Linked DNA regions of Macaca fascicularis. The protein of the gene in region 3 purifies or fractionates together with the protein of the main gene of each other region. This does not show direct contact. Links are inferred from orthologs where the notes say so. Each region holds a gene or a part of one and is shown on either strand. Other genes may lie near its edges. The genes, in order: CHUK, CYLD and RIPK1.

Evidence for each region.
Region 1: the proteins of RIPK1 (region 3) and CHUK purify together in Homo sapiens (affinity purification with western blotting; 3 studies listed by BioGRID, with this or other methods). This does not show direct contact. The link is inferred for Macaca fascicularis from reciprocal best matches to the Homo sapiens genes RIPK1 and CHUK.
Region 2: the proteins of RIPK1 (region 3) and CYLD purify together in Homo sapiens (affinity purification with western blotting; 5 studies listed by BioGRID). This does not show direct contact. The link is inferred for Macaca fascicularis from reciprocal best matches to the Homo sapiens genes RIPK1 and CYLD.

The regions. Positions count from the first base shown.
Region 1 is NC_088383.1:109,147,901-109,151,554, forward strand, and holds part of CHUK (inhibitor of nuclear factor kappa-B kinase subunit alpha), read right to left. Parts: intron 1,878-3,654; coding exon 1,816-1,877; intron 533-1,815; coding exon 423-532; intron 1-422.
Region 2 is NC_088394.1:46,735,795-46,739,448, forward strand, and holds part of CYLD (ubiquitin carboxyl-terminal hydrolase CYLD), read left to right. Parts: intron 1-1,141; coding exon 1,142-1,258; intron 1,259-2,963; coding exon 2,964-3,343; intron 3,344-3,654. UniProt on the Homo sapiens protein: Deubiquitinase that specifically cleaves 'Lys-63'- and linear 'Met-1'-linked polyubiquitin chains and is involved in NF-kappa-B activation and TNF-alpha-induced necroptosis.
Region 3 is NC_088378.1:169,961,093-169,964,746, reverse strand, and holds part of RIPK1 (receptor-interacting serine/threonine-protein kinase 1), read left to right. Parts: intron 1-2,153; coding exon 2,154-2,306; intron 2,307-3,654. UniProt on the Homo sapiens protein: Serine-threonine kinase which is a key regulator of TNF-mediated apoptosis, necroptosis and inflammatory pathways.

The DNA.
Region 1 (3,654 bases), on a different chromosome or scaffold from region 3:
GACACTTAAACAGACAAAAATTATGACCTATAATTAGAGAAAATATCTGAAGTTTTTAATCCAGAACTTTAATTAAGAAAAAATCTCAAGTTTTAGGGCATTTAAGAGTCAATATCTTGGACCAGAGGTACTATGAGTAGGGAAACAGTTTGTAACTTAGTTATACTTGGAAAATTCTTAACACTCATATGAAATAAATGCTTTTATTCAAAACCAAAAAAGGCCAACCCAAAGAATTATTTCTGAAGTTTCCTGTGACTAAGAAAAAGCTTCCACTTTAAAGATAATCCCAATATATTTGGGGAAAGGAAAACTAGAGAAAAGAACCACATAGAGGTTTAATTTGCCAGATGTAAGCAGAAAGAACAATATGCTACAAAATATAACAGATGTCAAGACCAACAACACAAGTACATCCTTACAGAGATTCCATCAAGTCTCCCTGACGTCTTCCATAGGGGCTCTTCTGTAGCTCCATGATTTCAGCATGCAAAGACATAATCTGATCCTCCAGGTATCCAATGACACCAACCTAAAATATGATGAAAATACAAAGGAAATGAAAGGCTTACCACTACATCATTGGAAACAAAATTCAGATCTTAAGGATACAGAATGACCTGCTGCTTCATTAGAGAACTAAATAATATAATATGAAACACTGATATTGTTAAAGCCTTTCTATTCTTCAGATTCTGACACTTAATCCTTCACATAAGAACACACTTATTCTTAGTCTTCTCTCTTTTCTCTCCTGACAACAGTAAACTACTAGTATTTGCTTTTACCTCTGGAGAAGCAAAAAGGTACAACAGGTGTCAACTAATAAGAAAGACCAAAACCACTGGTATTACTTGTATCTTGGCTCTATGATTTTGATTGCCTCCTGGCCCCCACTGCCTTGAATAGGGACACAAAAAGATAAAGACCTTGGATTTCCCACCCCAGGACACCATGGGTATTCCCACCCACATCCTCAGGGTAAGTACTGACATTAAGGAGTGTAATAACTTAGGACCATGGACAAATGTACAGGATAAGGGGAAGAAAATCTGCCACCTAGAGAATGATCTATACCTAGGGACACCATATAATTTATTGTCCAAACCAGTGTCATTTTGAGAGTGAAAGGGACTACTACTGATAATTATGGCAAGATATTAGGTATAAACTGGGACAGTCCCACTAAACCCAGATGTGCAGCCATCCTATCTAAACCAGTCACAAAAATAATACTGACTCCCATTTAATCTTCATAACCCTACTAGAAAAGAAATTGTGCCCATAATATGGAAACTAGCTGGATGTGGTGGCTCATGCCTGTAATCCCAGCTCTATGGGAGGCTGAGGTGGGAGGATTGCTTAAGCCCAGGAGTTTGATGCAAGTCTGGGCAATATAGTGAGACCCTGTCACTAATAAAATGTAAAAATTAGCCAGGCATGGTGGTGCACCTCTTGTCCCAGCTACACAGGAGGCTAAGATGGGAGGACTTGCTTGAGCCTGGGAAGTTGAGGCTGCAGTGAGCTTTGATCATGCCACTGCACTCCAACCTGGGCAACACAGTGACCCTGTCTCAAAAAATAAATAAATAAATAAAGGAAACTGAAGCTTAGTAAGGCACTAGGTAATTTTCAAAAAGCCCTTGTTTTTAATCACTATGATACCTCCCTCTTTATATACAAAGCATCTACTAGAATTTTGTCTGAATTTCGGGAATGACATGAAAAATGCTCTTTATATACCAAAACCAAAGACAGTTTCTAATGGAGACATCAAGAATTAATAAGTACACAGAATGTGGTCAATGATTTTACCTCAGCATAGTGGATGGCCTTTTCTTCCATTTCTTTCCATGCTTTTAGCATTTTTTCTGAAGCTAAAAGAAAAGTCTAAATTGGTTATCTCAGAAATAGCCATATCTTTAATTACTGGCCTGCCTGCCTCCTTGCCATATCAACATCAAAGATGTGTTATGAGTTGAATTGTGGCCCCCCAAAAGATATGTGGAATTCCTAACCCCCAATATCTCAGAATGTGACCTATTTGGAAATAAGGTCATTACAGAAGTAATTAGATAAATTAATACTCATACAGGAATGGTCTGGGCTCTTAATCCAGTATGACCAGTGTACTTAGAAGAGACGAGACACAGGATACAGATACACAGGGGAGAATGCTATGTGACAATGGAGACAGATTAAGGTGCTGCAACTGTAAGCCAAGGAATGCCAGTGATGGCTGGCAGACCATAAGACCATAAGAAGCTAGAGAGAAACAAGGAAAGATTCTTCTCTGCAGATTTCAGAGAAAACATGGCCCTGCCAACACCTCGATTTTGGACTTTTAGCCTCCAGGGCTGTGAGACAATAAGTTTCTATTGCTGAAGCCACACAGGTTATAGAACCCTTAGGAAATGAATACAGATGACTGTTTTCTTTCTTTCTTTTTTTTTTTTTGGGGAGATGGAGTCTCACTGTCACCCAGGCTGGAGTGCAGTGGTGCAATCTCAGCTCACTGCAAGCTCCGCCTCCCAGGTTCACACCATTCTCCTGCCTCAGCCTCCCAAGTAGCTGGGACTACAGGCGCCCACCACCATGCCTGGCTAATTTTTTGTATTTTTTAGTAGAGATGGGGTTTCACCATGTTAGCCAGGATGGTCTTGATCTCCTGACCTCGTGATCTACCCGCCTCGGCCTCCCAAAGTGCTGGGATTACAGGCGTGAGCCACTGTGCCCGGCCGACTGTTTTCTTAAAAAAAATATGTATATCAGTGTGGAGATAGGTGGATAAAGGAAAAACCAATTTTTTTTTTTTTTTTGAGATAGTGTCTCACTCTGTCACCCAGGCTGGAGTGCAGTGGCATGATCTCGGCTCACCGCAACCTCTATCTCCAGGGCTCAAGTGATCCTCCCACCTCAGCCTCCTGAATAGCTGAGGTGTGCACCACCATGCCCGGCTAATTTTTGTATTTTTTGTAGAGATGGGGTTCTACCCCACATTGCCCAGGTTAGTCTTGAACTCCTGAGCTCAAGGGATCCACCAGCTTCGGCCTCCCAAAGTGTTGAGATTACAGGCGTGAGTCACCACACCTGGCCAGAAAAGAAATTTAATACTTGAATGTGATTTTTAAAAATTAAATACTATAAAAGGATATAAACAGAAAAGACTCTGTCTTCCTCCCTTCTACCATCCACCTCAAGGGACCTTACTATGATTATTTGTTACACAGACACATACCCTGCTCCCTCGCAAGTGAAACCACTGGTATACTCTCTATTTTTTCCCACAATTTAAAACTTTTCTGTCAACTAAAGACCCAGGTGATCTTTTAATAAAGCACATACAGATCTACCTCATTCTTCTTTAACAATTGTATAATAAGCCTTTGACAAGTCTAAGGTATTTTAATGAAATAATTATATTTTATCACTTGCCAGAATGTCAATAATATACAAATAGAGATAAAATAACAATATTATTAATAAAACCAGTTCTGGAGAGTAAATTCATTCACCCAACTGGACACTATTGATTGTTTATTCTGAGATACACATACTTTGCTCAGGACAAGTGTACAAGCAGTATTTGTTTCCTAAAAAGGATTTGTTTTATAAAAGAAAACAGAAATGCTGGTAGTGACTCCTTCAATTTAC
Region 2 (3,654 bases), on a different chromosome or scaffold from region 3:
AAACTGCTAAGCAAAAATTTATTCTCTTTCCCAGAAGCTTCCTCACAATATGTGTGGAGCTTACAGCTCTTTTTTTGTTAGCTTTCACATACTTCATAGATTTATAGAATGGTAGTTATACAAGCCAAACAGCTCATTAAAAAGGCTCTAAGAATTTTTGTTAACTCAGATACGGGTTAGAAGAAGAATATTTTTTCCTCAATTATTACAATTTTCGCTCATTTAAAAGGAAATTGTACTTTAAGAATTATTTTGTGTGACATTGGAGCCTGGGAGACTTAGGATTAATTACAGGATATATAGGTAACAGTCTTTTTTGTGTTAACCTATAGATCTATATAGGATAGCTCAAACTTGCTACTCTCATTTAAATAGAAACAGACTAAAGATTTTCTTAAGATATGTCGTGTTAATTGTATTGTAGTATATCTTAAAGTTATAAAATGTACAGCTACCTACTTTAATTTGAAAAGGAAAATCAGTTTTTTTGTGGGTTCTGGAGAGCCCACTGCCCCCCACTGTGTGTGGCATGTCCTTGAATTAATACTGAGGCAAGGTAATGTCTTGAAATGGCTGTGGCATAGCTACACTTGCCCTCTTACATACAATAAATCCAATCTATAAGAAATAATAGTGCTTGATTTTTTCAAAGATACAAGGAATTTGATGACCAAAAATTCCAAAATGTTTAAAACTTAACTATTTTTAAACATAATTTGTGTATCGATTTATATATAGCATTTGAGGATTACCTTCTTTTAAAATAATAGGTTAAATTTGTGAACCAGTGGGTCTATCAAATGAAGCTGGGGAATGGTGATTTTGACATTTAAAAATAAGCTGTGGTACATGGAACAATGACTTAAAGCAGTTCATTTTTTTTAAATGAGTGGACCTTTCTTTTCACTTACTCCTGTTTCCCTCCTATATTGACTTTTGGGCTGAAGAATATTTTTAATATTGCCAAAATGGTTACCAAATTTTTAAAAGCTGAAGACAGTTAAAAAACATATTGTGTTTATATATATTTATTGGTTATGTAAACAGTTATTAACATCATATGCATATTAATTTCTCTACTAGAAAAACCTTTGATGCTATATTGACTTTATTTTTAAATGAAACTTTTCTTGTTCTATAGGATCTACCTCAGACCCTGGAAATAGAAACAGATCTGAATTATTTTATACCTTAAATGGGTCTTCTGTTGACTCACAACCACAATCCAAATCAAAAAATACATGGTACATTGATGAAGGTAATCTGTAATTTTAGTGCTCTTTATAATGATCCTTTCTTTTTAACTCATCAAATAAAAATGGCTTTTTATAGCAATATTTGTAGTTTTTGGGAACAGAGTAAGTAGACCACTCTTTGTAATATTGCTGAACTAAAATATTGTACACAGTTTGAACTGTACTGCTGTTAAGATTATTAAAATGTTTAAGAAATGGATTAGTAATTTGTTCTTTTCCTTTAACCGATCTATTTAGGGTGGAAGATTTCTGTCTGGTTCCTTCCTGACCTCTTTAAAGCACTCCCTTTTAAAAATTTTATCTTCCCTTGGTCCTGGGACATCATTTTCGTCTAGTTTATTCTTTTCTTTGTTCATTTGTTCAACAAATATTTATTGAGTGCTTATGATTGCCAGGCATTCTTTTAGGCATCAAGATGAAAATGGCGAGAAAAAGTAGACATGGTTCGTGCCCTTTGTGAGTTTGCAGTTAAGTTGTTGAGACAGAAATTAATCAAACAACCACAGACACAGAAGTAGAGTTGCCTTGGTGCTGTGTGCAGTGAAGGTGCGTGATGCTGTGAGAATACACCAAAGATGACTTTTCTCAGCGTCTTGGAGATGTTTCTTTGGGGCAGTGACACATGCTTAGGTTTACCAGAGGATTGACAGATGACAAAGTGAAAGGGGCCAGAACCTCCTCGGGAGAAGAAATAGCATATGGAAAGTGGAAGAATGGAAGCTAGTGTTTGCCAGGCACTGGAACAGAGAAACAGGCATGACACTCATGAGATGAGAATGGAAAGGCAAACAGGCCTTACTCTGTGGTCTCCCAGCCTTTAGAGTTTTGCCTGCCGCATTTGTCTTTAAGCCACCTGGAGCTGATTTTCGTATAGAGTATGAGTAGGATTCCAGTTTAATTTTTTTTAAACATATGGATAACCAGTTATCTCAACAGCATTTAGTAAGAAGTTCATTCTTCCCTCAATGATCTGCAGTACCTGCCTGTCAAATGTATTAGTCATTTTAAGGAAATAGCTTTTGGCCGTGGCTCTCTTTATCATGTGTTTGGTTTCTCTTAAATTACATTGTGTGTTTGTGTTTGTTCTGGCTTTGAACTTCTTATTGTATGTTTGTTTTCTCTCTTCTATTGTTTCTGTTCTTTAGTTTATTCTTCTCTACCTTTTTGGGGGTTATTCTGTTCTTTTAACTTCCCAAGTTGTATGCTGAGTTCATATTTAGCTTTTGTTTTTTTCTGAAATAAGCAATTAAGCCTATAAAATTCCCTTATAAGTATTAATTTAGCCATGTTCCGCAAGGATTCTTTCTTTCTTTGTTTCTTTTTCTCTTTTTTCTTTATTGTTAAAACTTATTATTTCTTTTTTGATCCATTAGTTATTTAGAAGCGTTTCTTAAGGTTTTTGGTATCTTTTTGTACTGCTTTCTCAATTAATTGTATTTTGGACAAAGACTATCACCTATACGATACCCAGTGATGAAGATTTTTTGGTTTGAACAATTGGGTGCCATTGACTGAGGTGCATAAATATGGAGGTGGAGGGAGAAGCGAGAACACTGTTGGAGATAGTAACTTTGTGCCTATGAGAGTACTATTAATAGCAGGGAGGTCAGGTGGGCGGTTGGACTATATCTGTATATTAAGTTTTAGAAATGGAAGACAGAGTCGATATCCTTGAATACATTTCTCTAATTAGGAATAATTTTTTAGTTGCAGAAGACCCTGCAAAATCTCTTACAGAGATATCTACAGACTTTGACCGTTCTTCACCACCACTCCAGCCTCCTCCTGTGAACTCACTGTCCACCGAGAACAGATTCCACTCTTTACCGTTCAGTCTCACAAAGATGCCTAATACCAATGGAAGTATTGGCCACAGTCCACTTTCTCTGTCAGCCCAGTCTGTGATGGAAGAGCTAAACACTGCACCCGTGCAAGAGAGTCCACCCTTGGCTATGCCTCCTGGGAACTCACATGGTCTAGAAGTGGGCTCACTGGCTGAAGTTAAGGAGAACCCTCCTTTCTACGGGGTAATCCGTTGGATCGGTCAGCCCCCAGGACTGAATGAAGTACTTGCTGGACTGGAACTGGTAATTTAACTTGACCCCAAAATTTCAATTTTTTTCTCTATGAGGTTTTATGCAGATTTCACCCTATTATATGCTTTTTGACAAACTGTTATATTTGTCAGAAAAGCTATCACTGCAGAAGAATTTTCTCACCATGTTGCCTGACTTCCCTTTGCCACCCCTGAGGCTTGCGACCCACTTGTCCTAATGTTAGTTGATTTACGTTCAAGGAATGAAAGTTGATTTTTAGGCCAATCGATTTAGGCTCCTTATATTAAACCAAATTTAGTAAATCAAACAAATTTGCCATCATCTTTTGTCTTTCTTCTTCA
Region 3 (3,654 bases):
GCTGCTGTTATTGGCACTGTTATTATCACTGTTAACAAGAACACCTAGACAGCCTTGAGCGCTGGAAGGTACCTCAGAGACTGTCACAGCGGTTCCTTGCTAGGATTCCAAGGACCCCAGTTTCAGCAGCTTCATAAACACCCAGAACTACATACAGATGGTGTGTGCGTGCACATCCTATATTTCTTACACCTGTCTCTAGAGAGGGTCCCTAGTTTCCTTGGCTTCCTCAGAGAAAATGCAACAAATGAGCACGGTGCCTGGTCCAGAAGGCGGCCTATCTTAGGGTCAGGTGTGCTGACAAAGGTACCTGGAGCTGCTATTCATTTCCCTCCTCAGAACTGTCTTCTCGACCACCTTCTCTCTCCTACAAGGATATGCTAAGTGCTCTTTAGGGACAGTACCGACACTTGACAAATTCAGCTCAGCATGAATGTCACTGAACCCATGCCCGTACCAAGTCCCAGGCTAGCGAGTGTAAGGAATACAAAAACAAGTGGGTATGGTTGCTGCCCTCTCGGGACTCACATTCTAGTGGAGAAGTCAGACAGACCCAGCTCAGATACAGAGCGGCCCAGGGCAGAGTGCTGAGTCTAGGATTACAGTGCAGGCTCACGGAAGGAGGGGGAATTTGTGCTGGGCCTGTGGCAGAAAATCACAGATAGGGAGAAGCATGTCGGAAGGTCAACAGTCCAGGCAGAGGCAGGAGCACCATGTCAGCAGATCAGTGGGAAATCTGGTGGGACTGGAGTCTCTGGAGTGGAGAGAGGGCGGAGACAGTGAAAGGAAGATCAGAGACAGAGGGTAGGGCAGAGCTGTGGCTAGCTACTGAATACTGAACCTGAGAGGTTTGAGTTTATCAGGTAAAGGAGGAGGACCCTTCACAGATGTTCAGAGTCGTGGGATCCTGCTGGGAAGTGTGGCTGAGCTGTGCTGTGCTGTTCATCCACCTCTGATTTCTGACAGCCACATTTTTCTATGGTAAAATTCAAAAACATAAAATATACCATTTTAACCATTTTTACAGTGGCATTACCTAACATTCATGTTGTTATGCAACCATCACCACCATCCATCTATGTAACTGTTTTGATCTTGCAAAACTAAAATTCTGTATCCATTAAACACCAACTCCCCAGCTCCCCTCCCAGCCCCTGACAACCACCATTCTACTCTCCATTCCTGTGACTCTGACTCTAGGTACCTCATATGAGTGGAATCGTGCAGCATTTGTCTTTGTGGCTGGCTTCATTCACTTAGGAAAGGTCCTCAAGGTTCATGCATGTTGTAGCATGTGATGTGATTCCCTTCCTTTTCAAGGCTGACTATTCCATTGTGTAGCTAGGCCACAGTTGGGTTATCCACTCATCTGCTTATGGGTGCTTGGCTGATTTCCACCTTTCGGCTCTTGTGAATAACACTGCAATGAACACGTGGGTAGAAACATTTCTTAGAACCTGTTTTAGTTCTTTTGGGTATATACTCAGAAATGGAATTGCTGGATCATATGGTAATTCTATCTTTAATTTTTTTGAAGAATCACGATAACTCTTTTTTTTTTCTTTTGAGACAGAGTCTCGCTCTGTCGCCAGGCTGGAGTGCGGTGGCACAATCTCGGCTCGGCTCACTGCAAGCTCCGCCTTCTGGGTTCAAGTGATTCTCCTGCTTCAGCCTCCTGAGTAGCCGGGATTACAGGCACCCACCACCATGCCTGGCTAATTTTTGTATTTTTAGTACAGATGGGGTTTCACCATGTTGGCCAGGCTGGTCTTGAACTCCTGACCTCAGGTGATCCACCCACATCGGCCTCCCAAAGTGCTGGGATTACAGGCGTGAGCCACTGCGCCCGGCCCACTATACTGTTTATAGCAGTGGCTGCACCATTTCACATTCCCACCAGCAGTGCACAGGGGCTTCATTTCCTCCACATCTTTGTCAATATGTGTTATTTCTGTCTTTTTTTTTTTTTTTTAATTGTAGGCATCCTAATGGGTATGAGGTGGTTTAGCCAGATTTTAAAGAAGAATAGTTTGAACTGTGGCATAGGATAATGAACTTAATGTTTGGGGTAAAGCCCTGCTTGTTTGCCATGCTGTACTTTTTCTCTTGCTTTTGATCTAGAATTACTTACCTGTGTGTTTCTCTTTGTTCAGATGAATCTATAAAATATGCTATATACAATAGTACTGGCATTCAGATTGGAGCCTACAATTATATGGAGGTTGGTGGGACGAGTTCATCACTACTAGACAGCACAAATACGAACTTTAAAGAAGAGCCAGCTTCCAAGTACCAAGCTATCTTTGGTAAGATACCCTGGAGGGACCCCATGTCTAGCAACCTTGAACTTTCTTACTTGTGAGAAGGACATAGTGGAATCTTAAAATTTCTCTGATAATTCTTCTTGAAAGTTTTCTCATGTTACTTCTGCAAAATATCTTTGTAATTTCCATATAATTCCTTTGTAATTTATTTTATTATTATTTTTTTTTTCTGAGACGGAGTCTCGCTCTGTCGCCCAGGCTGGAGTGCAGTGGCGAGGTCTCGGCTCACTGCAAACTCTGCCTCCCGGGTTCACGCCATTCTCCTGCCTCAGCCTCCCAAGAAGCTGGGACTACAGGCGCCCGCCACAACGCCCGGCTAATTTTTTTTGTATTTTTAGTAGAGACGGGGTTTCACTGTGTTCGCCAAGATGGTCTCGATCTCCTGACCTCGTGATCCACCCGCCTTGGCCTCCCAAAGTGCTGGGATTACAGGCGTGAGCCACCGTGCCCGGCCAATTTATTTGTTTTTAATATGGAGATAATCACAGTATTTATGGATTTGTTGTGAAAATTAAATGAGTTGGTATGTATAAAAAGCTTAGAAGACTGCCTGACACATAGTAAGTTCTATAAAAAGTGTTAAACTTTCATCATTAGCATCATCAGTATTACTGGTCAGACCTGGAAGAAACAGCTGTGTCAGGCCCTCATCAAAGGAGATCCTGTACAAGATAGAAGACTGTGCCCTCCACAGCACTTCTGTAATAAAATCAAGAGGACTATCTCTTACAGGGTTCTACTGTGTAGGCCCATAATGCTAATCCCAAAGTACAGTCTGGAAAAAGTCATGAGGCCAAAACAACTTGATTAAGAACCCAGCTTTCTAATTAACCATGGGATTGGCTATTTTTTTTTTTTTTTTTTCTGTAAAGGAACCAGTAGGAAATGTTAGGCCCTGCTGTCTTTGAGGTCTCTCTTGGAACTACTCAACTCTCTTATTGTAGTGCAAAAGCAACCACAGACAATACACACGTGAATGAGCACGGCTGTGTTCCAATAAAAGTTTATTTACAAACACTGGCAGGGAGCCAGATGTGGCCCACAGGCCATAGTTTGCTTTTAAAATACCTAGAACAGAAATTCTGAATGGTCAAGGGCACCTGTGAGAATCTAATGAAACGCGGGATCTACCCCCTACAGAAATATTGACAAAATTTGGAAAGTATGTTGGGAAGTTCTTGGACTGCTGACAATCAACTGGTGGCAATACAAGCCACATTATGGAGGGCTGAGGAAAGAAGATAGGTTGAAAGGAAAAATGAAATATTTTCTTCCTTATGTTCTGTTTAATGAGGTCGTGTGGGGATTAAGGAATTTTGTTGTGGTTGTT